Caenorhabditis elegans: one gene and its partner. The protein of the gene in region 1 interacts with the protein of each later gene in a pairwise test. Each region holds a gene or a part of one and is shown on either strand. Other genes may lie near its edges.

Region 1 (4,544 bases):
GTTTATTTCAGCTATTTCAAATAAAAATGTTATACAATTTTATTTTTCAGGTGCATGGAAAGAGCGGCGATTCGAATTTCTGGTTGGTGAAACGTTTTTGCGCACGAGTCTAGCTGAATTCATCGAGGAATACGAAGTGGAAACGGTAAATTTCATTTAAAAAAAGTTTAGAGTTTTAATAAAACAAGCTCTGCAGGAAACAATCCTTAAAGTGGAATGCGTAATTGGAATTGAAGCTCCAAAACCACTTCATGATATCCAAGCGCCTGATTGGGTTTCTTCGGTACAAATCGCAAACGGCCAGTATGTTTTTTCCGCTTAATGTTTGGTAAAAGTCTCATTCTGAAATTTTCAGCATTTTCTCAACAACCTACGGAGGAGACATTGTAATTGTGGATCGTAAAGGAAAAGAGACAAAGTTGGCTGTTAATTCAGCAAATCGTCTTTTAAAGTGCATCTCAATCGTCAAAGCACCATCTAGTCAGTTTTAACACTAGTTGAAATTTAAAAAAACGATAATTTTTGTTTCAGAGAAAAATCAATTGGACGGTACAGAATTTGTGGTCGGCGGTGAAAATCAACTGCTGACTCTCTATGCAATTGAAAAAGGAGCACTTGTTGAGAAGGTTAGGTGTTCGAATTTCGGGGTTATCAGTTTTATCAATAAATTTTGTTTCGAAAATTCTTTTTTTTTATTTTGCAGTCATTACTTCATTCTTAATAAAAATTTTCCAGCTCATCCTTCGTGGTCATGAACGTGCCGTCGAATGTGTTTCAGTCAACTCGGATTCGACCCGTGCGATTTCTGGATCAGTCGACACAAATCTCAAAATTTGGAACTTGGATGCATCTGATGAAGCAACAACATATGAGAAAGAAGAAGAAGAAGAAAGTGCGAAGAAACGCCGAAAGAAAGAAACCAAAACTAAAGTTCCGATGGTTACGATTGGAGGGCATCGTGACAAAGTATCCGCAGTCGAATGGTGTCCATGGAATTCTGGACACGCATTTTCGTGCTCGTGGGATCATACTATTGTTGAATGGGATTTGGAATTAGGTTAGTTCTAATGATAAATATCCTATTTATATACAAAAAATAATTTCATTCAAGCTGGTGAAATTTCGCGGATCAAAGGACCCAAATCATTCACAAGCATTGATCTTCATCCGAAGAGTGATCTTCTCATCTCCAGTTGTACTGATGCTATTCCAAGACTTTATGATCCAAAAAATAGAGGTTTGTTTGTTAATATTTATTTAGTCTCTTGTATTTATAAAACATTTCAGATGGAAGTATGGTTAAACAATCATTCATTGGACATCAAAATGGATGGGTTGAAGCTGTCAAATGGAATCCGTTGGATACAAATCAATTTGTTAGTGTTTCCACCGACAAAACTGCGAAAATGTGGGATGTAAGGTAGGTCTTGTTTCAAAAATTAAAGAACCATTCAGTTTTTACTTTAATATTCGGTTTGTTTCAGATCCTCAAAGTCTTCATTGTTCGACATTCATGGACACGATGATCGTATTTTGTGTGCCACGTGGAATGAAGGACTAATTGCAACTGGATCCGCAGACTGCACAATCAAAATCTTTGAGACTGCTTGATTTGTTTTGTTTTTTGTTATTCTACAAATTCTTATATTGTTTTTTTTTCTATATACCGCGTTTTCTATTTGTTGATTTTGATTTTTTGTTGAACTTTTTATGAAGTTATCCACTTGAATTTATTTTCCATTACCTTCTGACAGTTTTGAACTGTGTTAAATATTTCAATTATTTTTCTTTCTTCAATTTTTCATTCAAGTATTTTCAGAATTTTTCAGTGAGAATCAAAACAAAAGCGTTGCAAAATGGGGAAGGGTTTTCAAAACTTCATGTCCAAAAAGGACTTCCATCCATCCGCTTTTCGGAATCTCAAAATGGTCTGGGAAGCACGACAGAAGAAGTCTTTGGAGGACAAACGACAAGAAGAACTTCGAGTTGCTTATGAGAAAGAGCAAGAAATTTTGAATAACAAGTATGTTGCATTCAATATCTTCTCACTAGATTATAAATATTTTTCAGAGCTCTTCTTGGAGACGAAAAGGCCAAAATGGGATTATCGTTCATGTATGATGCTCCAGCTGGAATGACAAAGAGAGAAGAACCGAAAGAAGAGCCGAAATTCGAATGGCAACGGAAATATCAAGCACCACGTGAAGATTGGGCTAAAGGAAATGAAGAGATCCAAGATCAACCATTCGGAATTCAAGTTAGAAATGTTCGATGCTGTAAATGCCACAAATGGGGTCATATAAATACGGATCGAGAATGTCCATTGTTCGGAAAATCTGGAAATTTTGAAGATGAAGGATGTAAGTTTCCGAAAAAAAATCGAATTAAATGTGTAAAATCAATTTTCAGATGCAAATAATCCATCAGACCTAATCAAAGATCTTCGTCGGAGACGACAGGAAGGCAAAGCAGGACCTTCAACATCGAAATCGTCTGCTGCTGCGGCGACAGGAGAAGATGACGATGAGGATGAGTGGATGGATCATCAGCAACTTGCGAGTGATATGCGTGAAGAACATGGAATCAAACTCAAAAGTTCTGTTTTGGCTGGAATGCAGACAGATCAACAGCTAACAAGAATGAAAAAAGAAATGACCGAAGAAGAAATGATGCTGGAGTTTTTCAATTCGATGACTGAAAAGGAAAAAAAGAAATTGCATAAGAAGCTGATGAGCGGTGCAGATTTGGAAGATGTAATGAAGAAGAAGAGTAAAAAAGAGAAGAAGAAGGAAAAGAAAGAGAAACGGAAGAATAAAGACAAGAAGAAAGATAAGAAGAAAAATAAGAAGAGCAAATCTCGTGAAACTGATGACGATTCTGATGGCAGCGATAGTGAGGATGATTGGAAAGGTATTTAAAGATGAGGTTTTTACATAATTAATTTGATCCTAAACACTTGTTCATTGATATCAAATATTAACGAAACGCTTAGAGTAGTTATTAGTTTCTCGATTTTTCAACCAGTTCATGTTTCAGAAAAATCATCGAAAAGGATCAAAAGAGAAGTGGAAAGTTCTCCGGAATACAGATCGAAGTATATCAAGCAGGAAGTTTTATCAGAAGACGAGAATTCCCATGGAAGAAAGGATTCGAGCCGAAAAAGAGCGCATAATGATTCAGAATCGTCAAACGAAGTAAGATCGTCAGAGAGGAAGAGATCTCGAAGAGATGATTCTCCGAACGCCAAAAGAAGTATCGGGTTGAAATCGCCGGAGAGGAGAAGCTCACGAGATCGGAAATCTTCACCCAAACAACGTCAGGATTCACCAGTGAGAAGACGGCGAAGTCCATCGTCGATTCGGAAGGAAAGTCAGCGTGTTCGTAAACATTCACCAGAACAAAAAAGAAATGGCCGTCATGATTCACGATCAGTGTCCCCTGTTAGAAGACGTCGTTCTCCGTCTCCTGACAATCGTCAGCTGGGTTCGAGAAAACAATACTCGCCACTGCGACGTCGCCAATCATCTCCGATGGTTGCATCACCAAGAAGACGTAGATCTCCATCACCAGAACGACAGCGCAAGAGACGTTCACCATCCGATTCCCCGCCAACAAGGCGTCTTTCTACGTCACCGATCCGACGTCGTAGAAGTCCATCGCCCAACAAGTTGCCTGTGAGAAGGCGTCGTCATGATTCCGGATCGCCTGATCGTGATGGATCTGAATCACCGAAAATGTGGAGAAAGAAGTCGCATAAATGAACGCTATTCAAATCAATTTTTAAAATTATTAAATGTGGTTTTCTTTTAAATTTTTTCCGTCATGTCTAATAAAGTATTTTCACACATTTTTGCTGTTTATAAATTTCTTGTATTTGGTGTTTTATAAATAATATTCTTAAGAATATTCTTCAATGGAAATGTTTTTATCTCTCATTGCGATACTTCTAAAATCCGCAATTGCGTCAACGCACGAGAATTGCGCCAATGAAGATTCTTAGCGCGGAATTCGTGCTTTGTATTTTATATAAATAAAATATATTTTAGTTTTCATTATTTCTTCCATTTTCAGCTTGTTTCATTGAAGTCTTGCCATTCACTATGGACACTAATTTCAAGGTAATTATTTGAAGCGTTAATTATTCAATTAATATTCCACCAAACCCATTTTAGTTGTCCAATTGCATTGGTACAGTGTATCGAGACGGTCAAGTGGCGTTCAGCAAAGATGGATACTCAGTGATTTCACCTATTGGCAACAAGCTATCAATTTTTGATCTCAGAAAGTAAAAAATAATTTTATATTCACATTTGATATATAATTTTTCAGCAATACTTCAAAAACATTGGATATTGACTGCAATTACAACATTAAAAGACTCTCTATTAGTCCATCGGGTTATCATCTTCTTGCTTCTGACGAGCGTGGGTTATAATGAAACCTATTCGAAGTCAATATTAATATTCTTCAGGTGGAGTTGTTCACTTTGTCCATTTGCTGTCCGAATTCAAAATATATACTTTTCGCAGCAACAAACCGATCGG
Region 2 (6,711 bases), on another chromosome or scaffold:
CAAGTGTATCTGGCATGAGATCAGGAGTTGGTTCCTGTTGAACCATTCCGAGAACAACATCACGAAGACGGGCGAATACTCCAGCAGATTGTTGGAATAGTTTTGCAGATACTTTAATTTCATCATCGGTATGGAATTGTTGAGCAGCTCCGATTTGAGACATCAACGATCCGATATTGAACAGAACGGCAGCACGTTCAAAGGATCCGTCAGACAGGGATAAGGATGCTCTGCTTGAGAAGAGGCTTCCTTTGTCGAATGCATCCTTCCATTTGAAAACAACTGGATTTTGAGTTGCAGAGATTATAATTTTGTTTTCAATGGCAACGAGTTGATCATAATATCTGTAAAAAACAATTATTTCAAAGATATTCTTTTTTTTTAAATTTATTACCTAGTCAAAACATCGAGAGCACTTTGATGCTTGTCGAGAGGCTGACAGCAAGCTTTTGAACGGAGTTTATTAAGTTCCTGAACAGCTTCGGCGACATCTGAGCGGTTATTATCGGATGTATTGTAGACATTGTCGATATAGCTTGTAAGTGGCTTCACAAGATCCACTTCATTAGTCGATTTCAGCGGTGCGCTGAGAAAGCCGAATGTAGCCATTCTGAAAGAAAATTAATACTAATTTGAAGTGAGAAATAAAAAAAATAAAATAGAAAGATTCTCTTTAAAGAATTTTTCTGAAATTTTGACAAACTGTGTTTCAATTAAAATGTGAAACATTAATCAAGAAAACCAATGAATTTAGCAAAAAAAACACGAAGATGTTACGAGAATTCAAAAATAAAGTTTAGTTTTAGTAAAAGTTTAATTTTTACAGTTATATTCAGTTAGCAGGGTCAATTTTCTATAATTTAACGCAAAATCCCCAGCCAATTCACTCCATCCTTAATTTGAGGTGAGCAATAGGAAAATACGAAGCTTCTCGTTAATGAAGGACAAGAAAAATGTAATAGAAAGTAAGTTCATCACATCGATTCACACTCCTAATCATTCAACAAGAAGGGAAAAACGTCATTTCAGACATTAGAATGCAAATAACGTTCGTGATACGAGTGATGAGTCATCGATGCTGCCGGCATGGTGACCGCCCCTCTCGATTTCGCAATTCGGGTTGCAAATAGAATTGAGGTGAGAAAAAAAGAAAATCAATAGATTTCAAAATTAGTAAACGTATGATTTGATATGAAATAACAATTTGAATTCTAAATATATTGAGTTTATTTTAAGCTAGGGCCTAAGCAATCCACTCTCTCGAAACAACTTTCAACACTTCAGCTCTCCGATCTGTTGCTTCCGGGGTTCTCAAGCGCTTGAGTTAACAAACAAATCTATAGAAATTGAACCGTTTAAGTGGGTATCGGTGGTTGATGATACAGAGGGAAATTTGAAGAACATCAAAAATTCGGATTCAATAGTGAAAACTGGTGGCATTGAAGTAGATTGTGATTTTCTACTGATTTATAGGCTATTTTTTGTTTGAAGAGACCTCCGGGAAACCTTTAATGAGAGAAAAGAAAAGAAAAAGATGCAACAAGAGAGAAAGAGTGTTGAGAAAATTGAAGAAAAAACAAAAAATTCGCGAAAAATGTTTTTATGAAAGAGCGCTCTATCGAGACACAAAAGTCTGAGTCTCTTTTCATAATGCGTTCTCTCTCGCTCTCTCATTTTTTATTTATTTTTTATTTATTTTCGATTTCCTTTTCGAAATTAAATTAGTTTTTCTTAAATTCTTTATTTTTTAGTAAATGTCGGATAAACGGGCAGATGGCCGCCTCGAAGGAACCAGTGACACATTTGGTGGATTGGTTATTAAAAAGAAAAAAGTAGAGGGAGATTCAAAACCAACCGAACCATCCGGGAAGTGAGTAACTAAATATATACTTTAATTTTCTTCAAATAAAAACAATTTAAATTGCAGAAGCTTGCTTGGGCTCGATAGATTGGCGTCTACAAAGCGGGAACACGCCAGAAAACGTCTTGAGGATGATGACGATCGAGGTGTCACGGAATCGGTTCGAAAAGGAATTGAAAAGTGATTCAAACATTAAATTAGCGAAGTAAATTGATGATTTCAGAGTTCATGAGAAGCATCGAGATCGTGACGACCGTGGAATGAAATACAAAAGTCGGGATGATGATCGCAGACGAGACCGTGACAGATCAGAACGAAGAGAGCCGAGTAGTAGAAGAGGTTGGAAAGATCGAAGTGGAGATCAGACTCCTCGCTTTAAAGTTCCCGATACACCATCCAGAATGAGCTGGGATCAAGATGATCGTGAAGGATCTTCCAGAAAACGAAATAGTTGGGATATGCCGACTCCGCGGGGTGAAAGAGACAGAAAACGATATATGGATTCGGAACGAAGCATTTCAAGTGCATGGAGAAGTGAAAGAAGGAATAGAGATGATGAGAAGAGACGGAGACATCGAAAACCAGAAGATTCGGTACGAAGTGTTAAAGAAGAAAAAGCAGAGCCCACATTTCATGATGACGAAGAGAGAGCTCAATGGGAAGAGGAACAGAAGAATTTGGACAGAGAATGGTATGATAATGAAGGAGCATTTGATGATGAGTATAATCCATTCAATAAGGTTTCTGACGAATTTGTGGAAAAACGAGAAAAGCAATGGCAGGAGAAAACTCAGAAGCCGAGACTTACAGTGAAGCAGCAGGCGATCAAAAGAGAGAATGAGTTATGGGAGAACAATCGACTGCATAGATCAGGAGTCGTCGCGATGGCTGATGAATTATCAAGTATTTTTGAAGATGAAACTGATGAGAATCGTGTCACAATTCTCGTTCAAAACATTGTTCCTCCATTCCTTGATGGTCGAATTGTTTTCACTAAACAAGCACAACCAATCATTCCGGTTGTTGATACAACATGTGATATGGCTGTTTCAGCAGCAAGAGGAAGTGTTGCAGTACGAAAACGGAGAGAAGTTGAAGATAGGAAGAAGGCTCAAGATAAGCATTGGGAGTTGGCAGGATCAAAACTCGGAAATTTGATGGGTGTTAAAGAGAAAAAAGATGAAACTGCTGATCCAGAAGACGATGATTCTGGAAATTACAAAGAATCTCATCAATTTGCATCTCACATGAAAGATAATGAAGCAGTTTCGGATTTTGCGATGGAAAAGTCTATCAAGCAGCAAAGAGAGTATTTGCCTGTATTTGCGTGTCGGCAGAAGATGATGAATGTGATTCGTGAGAATAATGTGGTTATCATCGTCGGAGAAACAGGATCAGGAAAAACAACTCAGTTGGCACAATACCTACTTGAAGATGGATTTGGTGATTCGGGACTCATCGGATGTACTCAGCCGAGACGTGTCGCTGCAATGAGTGTTGCTAGACGTGTAGCTGATGAAATGGGAGTGGATGTTAGTTTCATTTTTGAGATAATTATGTATTTCACCACTGTTTTAAGAAAACAATTTTATTTTAATTTTTACAGCTAGGACAAGACGTTGGTTACGCGATTCGATTCGAAGATTGTACATCAGAAAAAACAATAATCAAGTACATGACAGATGGTATTCTGCTTCGTGAATGTCTTGGTGATGGAAGTCTTGATCAATATTCAGCAATTATTATGGACGAAGCTCACGAACGTTCACTCAATACAGATGTACTCTTTGGTTTGCTCAGAGAAGTGATTGCAAAACGAGCTGATCTGAAGCTAATCGTTACTTCTGCTACTATGGATGCTGATAAGTTTGCAGACTTTTTCGGAGGAAACTGTCCCACTTTTACAATTCCTGGAAGAACATTCCCAGTCGAACTGTTTCATGCGAGAACTCCTGTTGAAGATTATGTGGATGCTGCTGTTAAACAAGCTGTTACAATTCATCTGGGTGGTATGGACGGAGATATTTTGATTTTCATGCCAGGACAAGAAGATATTGAGTGCACTTGTGAAATGATCAAAGAGAAGCTTGGTGAACTTGATGAAGCTCCTCCACTTGCTGTTCTACCAATCTATTCCCAGCTTCCAAGTGACTTACAAGCCAAGATTTTCCAAAGAGCACCCGGTGGAATGCGGAAAGCAATTGTGGCTACAAATATTGCAGAGACATCGCTCACTGTCGACGGAATTCTATTTGTAATTGATCCGGGTTTCTGTAAGATGAAGGTGTACAATCCAAGAATCGGTATGGATGCTCTATCGATCTTCCCAGTGTCACAAGCATCAGCGAATCAACGAACTGGTCGTGCCGGACGTACTGGACCAGGACAGTGTTATCGTTTGTATACTGAAAGACAATTTAAAGATGAGCTTTTGGTAAGTTTGAGGTGAATCTCACAAATCTGGAGTGAGCGACGAATGCTAAAAATTTCATGGGAAAAATATCGAAAACGACAAATTTTTAATTTTATTTTTTAAAAATATATATTAAAAAATATATATATATGCTCAGCCCTGTTTCAAATAAAAACAAATTTATTTTTCAGAAGAGTACTGTACCTGAAATTCAAAGAACCAATCTCGCCAATGTAGTGCTTCTTTTAAAGTCTCTCGGAGTGGATGATCTTTTGAAATTTCACTTCATGGATGCACCTCCACAGGACAATATGCTGAATTCAATGTATCAACTTTGGACTCTTGGAGCTCTCGATAACACTGGACAGCTCACGCCAATGGGACGAAAAATGGTTGAATTCCCACTAGATCCAACTCTGTCGAAAATGCTCATTATGTCGGCTGAAATGGGATGCAGTGATGAAGTTCTGACGATTGTTTCGATGTTGTCAGTGCCCGCAATTTTCTTCAGACCAAAAGGACGAGAAGAAGAAGCTGATGCCAAGAAAGAAAAGTTCCAAGTTCCCGAATCGGATCATCTCACTTTCTTAAACGTCTATATTCAATGGAGAACACACAAATATTCTGCAAAATGGTGTGCCGACAACTATTTACACGTAAAAGCTTTGAAAAAGGTTCGAGAAGTTCGTGCTCAATTGAAGGAAATTATGCAAGATCTCAAGCTTCCATTGATGTAGGTTTTTTTTATTTGAAAGTTTCTTAGAACTACAATTTTATAAAATTATTTCAGCTCAAACGGAAGTGAATGGGATATTGTGAGAAAATGCATTTGCTCTGCGTATTTCCACAATGCAGCTCGTCTTAAAGGAATTGGTGAATATGTCAATGTTCGTACCGGAATTCCATGCTTCCTTCATCCAACTTCAGCTCTTTTTGGAATGGGTTTCATGCCTGATTACGTGGTAAGCAGGGCTGAATCTGAAGAAAAAAAAATGCTGAATCGGTATTTCAAATATTTCGGCCAAATTGCACTCTATTTTAAATTTTGAATATGATTTTTGGAAAAAAAGTAACACTTAAAAATTTATGAATGTTTCAGTATATCCTCTTTTTCGAAAAAAAGAAGCGGAAAATAAATTATTCGCCAAAAACACATTCCTTTAAACTTTAAATTAATATTCTAAATTAAGGTGTACCACGAATTGATTATGACAGCCAAAGAATATATGCAATGTGTAACTGCTGTCGATGCAATCTGGCTTGCTGAACTTGGACCCATGTTCTATTCGATCAAAGAATCGAAACAATCACGCAAAGAACTGAAAATGGAGAGTGTCCGAACGGTTGAAACGATGGAAGCAGAGATGCGAGAGGCGCAGAAAGAAATGGAACGGCGGAAGGAAGAAAGTGACAAGGCGTTCAAACGACCAGAATCTTCCAGGCGTGTTGTTGAAGTCGGATCGAAATCGGCCAGATCGGAGAGAAGAAAGCTGTGGGGTCTTTGATCAATTACTCTCTTTCTCTGTCTTATTTTCTCGTGTAATCGGGTGTCACTGTTAATACTCCAGTTCGATTTTCTATATACTCTGTTGCAATTTTATTTTCAGAAGTTTATTCCATAAACCTTATATTTATTTTTACCTTTTTCAATTTTTCCCACTTTCGGTACATTTCCTTTTTTACTGTATGTTTTTCAACAACAAAAAAAACTCAGAACAAAATTTTCAGAATGATTCTCGGTGATATGCCATTGGAAATCATCCGAGAAATCCATAAAGGGTTAAAACCTACGGATCTTGTTAATTCAGCTTTAAGTAATATCGATGTGATGAGAGTTATCGTAGATATGATTCCAAAAATCCGTGCTATAAAGATTGGAATCACAAGTGAGAAATTGAATGGAAAATGTGATGGAGACGAATTTGAGCTTCATATTCCAAAAGTAAATCGAGAAGAAATTCAAGAACTTTTACATTTTCTAATGCCACAAATAGTTAACGGTATTTATTTTCTTATTCGTCTATTTTACTTTTATCTAACTGTTTGGATACAAATTGAAACATTAAAAAAAAATCATTCAATTCTCGAGTATAATTGCCAATTTGATTTTCAGAAATTCATTCCCTTCAATTGGAAAATGAATTAGTCGGCGACGAGATTTCTGATGAACAGCTAGCTCAACTGCTCCAATTGACAAAAAATGCTCCACTAAAGCAACTGGCACTATCTGAAATTGATTTGGAACGAATAAATACATGGACTCTCGCTTTACTTGCTGGTTATGATAAGCTTGAGAAAGTTGAGATTGAAGGATGCAATTTGGGAGGTGACACTGAAGCAAAGTTGCTCAGATGCTTTCAGGCATCTTTCCAGACTCTTACTCAAATTGATTTGAAAGGGACTTCACAGGTGAATATGATACATTTAAAGGAATCTC

The links.
Region 2: the proteins of cir-1 (region 1) and mog-1 interact in a two-hybrid assay, tested with the Caenorhabditis elegans proteins (one study listed by BioGRID).

What each region holds. Positions count from the first base shown.
Region 1 is NC_003279.8:5,653,133-5,657,676, reverse strand, and holds cir-1 (CBF1-interacting co-repressor CIR N-terminal domain-containing protein), read left to right. Parts: upstream 1-1,819; 5' UTR 1,820-1,856; coding exon 1,857-2,023; intron 2,024-2,070; coding exon 2,071-2,360; intron 2,361-2,409; coding exon 2,410-2,910; intron 2,911-3,036; coding exon 3,037-3,761; 3' UTR 3,762-3,849; downstream 3,850-4,544. Other genes in the region: wdr-12 (Ribosome biogenesis protein WDR12 homolog), read left to right, coding at 51-145, 197-303, 356-480, 532-626, 736-1,057, 1,112-1,237, 1,288-1,420, 1,485-1,611; F55F8.3 (Periodic tryptophan protein 2 homolog), read left to right, coding at 4,101-4,118, 4,173-4,285, 4,330-4,424, 4,472-4,544.
Region 2 is NC_003281.10:9,951,256-9,957,966, reverse strand, and holds mog-1 (putative pre-mRNA-splicing factor ATP-dependent RNA helicase mog-1), read left to right. Parts: upstream 1-1,751; 5' UTR 1,752-1,754; coding exon 1,755-1,870; intron 1,871-1,927; coding exon 1,928-2,041; intron 2,042-2,084; coding exon 2,085-3,393; intron 3,394-3,467; coding exon 3,468-4,295; intron 4,296-4,465; coding exon 4,466-5,007; intron 5,008-5,064; coding exon 5,065-5,236; intron 5,237-5,464; coding exon 5,465-5,779; 3' UTR 5,780-5,907; downstream 5,908-6,711. Other genes in the region: alx-1 (Apoptosis-linked gene 2-interacting protein X 1), read right to left, coding at 1-344, 395-609; K03H1.11 (F-box domain-containing protein), read left to right, coding at 6,004-6,274, 6,388-6,683. UniProt on the Caenorhabditis elegans protein: Probable ATP-binding RNA helicase involved in pre-mRNA splicing.